Linked DNA regions of Sus scrofa. The main gene of each other region encodes a partner of the protein of the gene in region 2 in a complex. Links are inferred from orthologs where the notes say so. Each region holds a gene or a part of one and is shown on either strand. Other genes may lie near its edges. The genes, in order: CLEC1B and PDPN.

The links.
Region 1: the proteins of PDPN (region 2) and CLEC1B are in contact, whole or in part, in a crystal structure (PDB 3WSR), measured with the Homo sapiens proteins. The link is inferred for Sus scrofa from reciprocal best matches to the Homo sapiens genes PDPN and CLEC1B. Residues at the interface, in NP_006465.4 of Homo sapiens: Ala46, Glu47, Asp48, Asp49, Val50; in NP_001380271.1 of Homo sapiens: Arg107, Phe116, Arg118, Arg152, Thr153, His154, Leu155, Arg157.

Annotation. Positions count from the first base shown.
Region 1 is NC_010447.5:61,889,322-61,891,946, forward strand, and holds the end of CLEC1B (C-type lectin domain family 1 member B), read right to left. Parts: coding exon 2,575-2,625; intron 767-2,574; coding exon 622-766; 3' UTR 553-621; downstream 1-552. UniProt on the Homo sapiens protein: C-type lectin-like receptor that functions as a platelet receptor for the lymphatic endothelial marker, PDPN.
Region 2 is NC_010448.4:73,046,441-73,050,269, forward strand, and holds the end of PDPN (podoplanin), read left to right. Parts: intron 1-262; coding exon 263-301; intron 302-867; coding exon 868-979; intron 980-1,827; coding exon 1,828-1,834; 3' UTR 1,835-3,560; downstream 3,561-3,829. UniProt on the Homo sapiens protein: Mediates effects on cell migration and adhesion through its different partners.

The DNA.
Region 1 (2,625 bases), on a different chromosome or scaffold from region 2:
GGAGATTCCCAGGCTAGGGGGTCTAATCCGAGCTGTAGCCCACGGCCTATGCCACAGCCACAGCAATGTGGGATCCAAGCCGTGTCTGCAACCTACACCACAGCCCATGGCAACGCCGGATCCTTAACCTACGGAGCAAGGCCAGGGATTGAACCCACAACCTCATGGTTCCTAGCCAGATTCGTTAACCACTGCGCCAGGACGGGAACTCCAAGGCTTAACTTTTCTTGTTTCAACTTAAAATGTATGCATTTAATTAAAAAGCAAGTCAAGACACAGGCTTCCAATACCTAAAAAAAAATGTGTTTATGTTTGAAGATGCAGTGACTCACTGTATGTTGAAACAATTGTGAATGGAGGACAAGAAGAATGAAAATTAATGGGAAGAGAACAATTAAATAATCAATTCTCTGACTGGCTTCTGGATTATAAAGAAGGCATTAAGTTATTCCTAATTATAAAGAAGGGACTAAAAGGCGTTGGTAGGAAAGGCGAAGTAAAGATAACTCCAAGGGGAATAAAGGGAAAAATAAAGCAATGTTATGGCTGATGAGTCTTTCATCCAGATCTTTTATTATACAATCAAGCACTTGTCTGTGACATCCTGCCCATCTCTTTGCATTAAAGTAGTTGGTCCACCTTTGGCATGCCTGCCTTCCTCTCACACATTAAATAATGTTTATTCTCACAGAAGGTAGGGTGGATTTTTCCATTATGAAAATAAGCACAATTCATATTTTCTGTTCCATTTCCAGAAAACTTAATCCTGTGAATGCAAAAGGTAGAATGATTTCCTTGGAAAGCTAAATAAATAAGCAGCAATCAAACTCTGTGTATAGTACTTTGGTGCACAAAGTGAAGACAAGAAGTATGGGGAAAAACAGTAAAAAACAACACTCAGAACATTGAGGAAATTCCAATTTGCTTGGGAGTATGAAGCATGGACTTTTGAATAGCTCATAGCAATTTATTATAGGATAAGATTAAGCAGAAGTGAACAGTAGGTGCAATAGGAGTTCAGAGGAAAAGATGGGTGGGGATCTGAAATGATGAGAAAGGCTCCATCTTTTTATATGAGATTATACTTTAGTTCTGTTTTGAAGGAAGGACAGAATTTATATCAACAGAGATGAGAGAGACTTGTAGAGCAAGTACCTGCACAGGATGGAAACAAGTTCAGAGAAAAGTAAGCTGATGAAATATTTTTGAAGTGAGGATTTATATTAGAGGATAATGGATATAAGACAGAACATGTACTGTATTTGCTTGTGAACTTGTCTATATTCCCACCTATGTCACTATGACAAGAGGACAAATGATGTATATTTATTAATTCATTTACCAATATCTTTGGGATCCCTACTACCTGCTAAAGTTGTTTTCTGTGCTGATGATAGAGCGGTAAACAAAGACAGGGTCCTTTCTACAAACAACTTACATTATAGTGAGAGAAATGTTGGTAAGAAGGCAACAAATAGAATATTTCAGAGAATTTGGTTAAGAGTTATGAAGAAACAAAACAGTGTGATAGGATAGAGTTAAGTGGATGGGCTGGAGGGAAGCTAATATAGTTTGGGTAATAAAAATTTGTCTCATTGAGGAAGTGATGTTTAAGCAGAGACTGGAGTCACAAGGGGGAACCCACCATGGACTTCTTGAGACAGAGCATTCAGGAAGGAAATAGCAAGTGCAAAAGCCCTAAGACCTTAAAACATGTTTGATTTATTGAAAGAACAGAGGGATCACAGTTTGCCTGCAATGTTGTGAATGAAGCAGCCAGTGATGAGAATAAAGCCTGAGGTCTATAAAGAGGCTTGCTTGTACTTGTGGTAGTCTTGGCGCCTATGCATAGTAGGTAATAAATACCTATTAAATAAATTAATTAAAATTTTAAGTAATGATCAGATTAAGTTTGGTTATCAGTTTAAATTTTAACGGGAGAGACATTGCACAAGATAAACAAAAGGGGATTGGAGATTGGAAAGCCAGTTAAGTAACTCAGAGTAATTGAGCCCTTTGCCTGGACTGTTTGTTGAAGGATAGAGACTGTCAACATGAAAATGAAAATCATCTTGTGAAAGACGTGCCTGATTCTTGGAAACCCCGAGGAAGATAGACGAGGTAAAATGATACTGAAAAGTCAAAAGAACCCTCAAAATAATAACTTTCGACCACAAAATAGTGAGGATGATCATTTTGTTATGAAATTATGTGAAGAGAATCAAATCAAGCTAACACCCCCCCTCCACACCCACCCACCCACCCATCTACCTGCGCACATAAAATATTCCAATGACAAAGGTGAGGGTAGAAAGGAATAGGACAATATCAGGAACAGGGGTGGAGTGTGACTTACATAAAGAACAGAGGAGTGGGAGAGCAGGGAAAATAGAATCTTATTACAGGTGCTGTCTTGTTAGGACTAGGACATGAATCAGCCCCTGTGTAGGTAACATACAGCACGACATAGCGTCACCTTCCAACTTGTTAAGTAGTTTGCACTCAAGAGGGTAGAAGATTTCTGGAATAAAAATTGCTAGTCGTGCCTTGTATTCTGAGGGTCCAGTGACTTACACATTTTTGGAGGGGACTGAGCCGTCTTCCCACATCCAGGCCTCTTTGGAG
Region 2 (3,829 bases):
AAACGGGTGAGAAAAAAAAGTAACATCCACAAAAGAACGTAGGTGTGAAGAAGCACTCATAAATTCAATAATAATAGTTTTGAAGACGGGATCGTGTCAGAGCTTGCTTAAAAAAATCCCCTGATCCCATTTATTTCAGAAATTATCCACTTTGCTTGTGTTTTGCTCCCTTCCATTTAGGGTAAATTCATCTTCTGCCAATTGTTAAATTATAGTTATTAAATCCTAATAATTCTATATCATTGCATCTCTCTCTTTATAGATAAAGGAGATGAAGAGAAATCAAAAACAGTTACGAAAGGTGGGTTAGACTTTGGTACCAAGATATTCTTACTGGAGTTTTTTAAAAGAAAGTTTTATTTGAATTTAACCTTTGTGATGAATTATGTTCTCTCCTGGATCATAGTCAACAGGGGCAGAATACAAAACCTAAAGAGAACAAGTTTTCAACCTAAAGAGAGAAAAGGGAATAGCCTGTATTTGAAAAGAAGCAAATCACAAATGAGTCTATTCACTTAATGACAGCTATGGAGAATGGTGTCATACCTTAGCTTATTCCTACCAAGAATGAAAATAGGGGCTAATTTAAAAGCTCTATGTACACAAATGTTACCCAGTAATTAACAGTGAAGCCACCTCGGAGGAGTGGTATGCCTGACAGATCCTGAGACCCAGAAGTCTTTCCATTCGCAAAAATGAGATTAGAATAACCCAGAGTTTCTCCTTTCAGTCAACTCCCACTGGATACAGAAGAGACAGCGTGGAACACCGTTTGCTCCCGACAGTGGGCCGGGGGCTTTGTTTATCGAAGGTGTATTGTTTACCTAGGGTTCATGTTTGTTTTTTTTTTTTCTCCCTCTTATTCAGATGGCTTGGGGACGGTGACCCTAGTTGGAATCACAGTTGGGGTCTTACTAGCCATTGGATTCATTGGTGCAATCATCGTCATGCTTGTGCGAAAAATGTCAGGAAGATACTCGTAAGTAGGGACCTTGCCCTTGTGTGATGGGTAAATGAAGGCAGGCATCTCCACCCTGAAACTATTAGAAGCCTCTACATAAGGGTCGTGTTCAGAAGCCACCAACCTCCTCCGTAAGCACTTCAGCTGAAGTTCCCCCAGAACAGGTGTCTTCTTGGACCTTACAAGTTTCCAAGAAAAGGAAGAACCAGAGAGGCTTCTTTAGTTGACTTCCAATGACACCTGACCAAATTCGACCTCTTGTCTTTATTTGCCAACTAAGTGAACTTGAAAGAAAACCCAAATCAGATTTTAACTTAATACCCCATCACTCCACTCCCAGTCATCAGAGGTAGGTGGTTTTCAGAAAAGCTTACATGGCAGAGCCAGGGCCCCCTTCCAGTGAGGAGTACTACTGGTGATGGGGGTCTGTCCCCTGATTCCTGCCCTGCATGTGCCCACACATGGCAGTGTACTCCTGGCATGGATTGTTACTAAGGGGAAGGAATACTTTTTATTAAAATTCCTTAAGAATTTGGACTATGTGAATTCACAGCCAGAGGAAAACATTTTCTTATCTCTGTTGGGGAAATGGTATATGACTGGGTGGGGAGAGGACAGATGCTGTACAGCTGGAGGTCAAGGGCTATGACTGACCGTTCAGGCGCAGGCTTAGGTAGGTATCTGGAAATGCCTGGGAGTCTGACCCTGGGTGTGAGGACCAGGCCTGGAGGAAGGATGAGCAGGGAGAGAAGAGCCCCAGGATCCAGAACTGAAAGACACAGGACAATAGGGACAATGACTCACGGGAAGTCTAGTCACAGTGCCAGTCAAAGAAATGATAGTCACCTTTCTCTTGGTTTTCCCAGGCCCTGAAGAGCTGAAAGATCATGCCCTCCTGCCAACACGTTTAAAGAAGAAAAAGTTTTCAACCGCCCCCTCCCCCGGCCCTGAGCACGTGGAGAAGATGACCCGTGGAAATGCTTGCCTCCCCCTGCCCCCCGCCCCCCGCCACCCTCAAAATCCATGGCGATCCCTCCACTTGCCAGAAGTAACCGCAGGAAAGAATATTCATAAGACTTGCTCCTCTAAGCATTTGTCTTTTGGGGAGGAAAAAAATTTGTTTTAATAGAAATTTTGCATAAGATGACTTAAAAGACAAACTGCATAGAAAACAGAGCAAAACTACATCATCTGATGTGTAACTCAGTATCATTCAATCTATGTTAGAAAGTGTGATTGTGTCTCTGCTCCACCCATTCTCTCTTGTTGTTACGATGCAAAGGAATTTGGAAATATTTATCCCCATGGCGTCCTTGGGTTAAAAGCTATGTCATTAAGTGGCAAAAGCATTGTACAGTTTCTGGTCTGTTGAAATGTACATGTTCCAGTCTAATTAGATCTGTTTTGAAAGTCTGATTTGGTCTGAATGATATGCCAGTACAGAATCTAAACTTGCATAATATGTAATGAGCAACTGCCTTTCACTGGTCTGGGTAAATCATTTCAAAGGCATCTATTTTAGATCAGACACAGGACGTCTGTACTTGGGGGAAGCCATCCTGTTTCTTGCAGCAAGGGTACCGGACAGGCTCCAGGTGTGCCCTGCTGCCTGCCCCATGAGTGACTTGATAATTCAAAGGTTTCCATCTGCCTGCCCCTTCCACTCCCCTCAGATGGTGGGGATCCAGAGCTAAGGGGGTGACTTTCTTTATTCCCTGTGACGTGAGTCCTCCAGGTCGGCTGCTTTGTTCTGGAATCTAAAGCTCTCAGCCCCAGGTGCCAAAGTGGCTGCAGGAAGCCCAGAGGTACCAGAGCTCAGGTCTTCCAGGAATGAAGAACCACAGTGCTCCCCCAACCCTGTGTGTGGCTCTGAGAAACAGAACCTGCCAATTTACTTTTGGCCTCAGAGGAAAGATCTGGGGATACTAATTTTTGAAAAGCAGCTGGCTTTGGAGACTTGATTTAAAAAGCAAAGACATTCCTGCTTTTCATGATAGCCCACATATTTCTGTGGGGTCACAATTGAAAATGCTATATCGGCACCCCTCCAACTCAGGACCTTTCTCCCCCTAGGTCAACTGAATTCTTTCCCCTCCACGAAAAGTTTTCAGGCAGAGCAGATGCTGTGTCCCTCTTGTGGCAGCGTGGTTCTGATGGCTCTACAGACGTGTGCGGGTTCATAAAACAGGAAAGTTAACTAGCAGTTGGAAAGTACAGCTTATTCCTCCCACCTGTTGCAGTCACGTGGGGATGTTATTTTAAACAGTGTGCCCATGTGTCATTCTGTCCAGCTGGTCTACCAGCCCAGGTTCCATACCTGACCATCCACAGATGGAGAGAAGGGGCTTCGGAGGAGCTTTATGAATCTCTTCAAAATCCTTCCGTTTCATCACTCAGATTCCTGAGCAGGAGTTGGGAATACTGTTCATCTTTCCTATCCTCTCTTCTTTCTCTCACTGTGAAAAATCATAGTCAACCCCAAGTCATACACTGGACCCATCGCCTGCTGGGACAGGACTGTGGGTTTCTTGGTCACATCTGTGTTGGTGCTCAATGCAGTGTAGACGTGTTTGAAAATAAAACAGACGATTGTGTATAAGAATGAGTCAGCCCCTTTGATTGGGAATCTCGATGAAGTCTGGGTCACCCATAAGGACGTCTCCAGTTAAGACTACAAATTATATAAATATTTGCCTCTTGACTTAATTGAGAGTGAATTAGAAACGGTTGTAGGAAGCACATCCATGGGAAAGAAATGCAGCTATACCTTTCACCCAGGGCTTTGCCGAAATGGAGAGGTTAAGGTCAAGCAGAAGCATCAGAGGAGGAGTTCCTGTCATGGCACAGTGGTTAGCGAATCCGACTAGG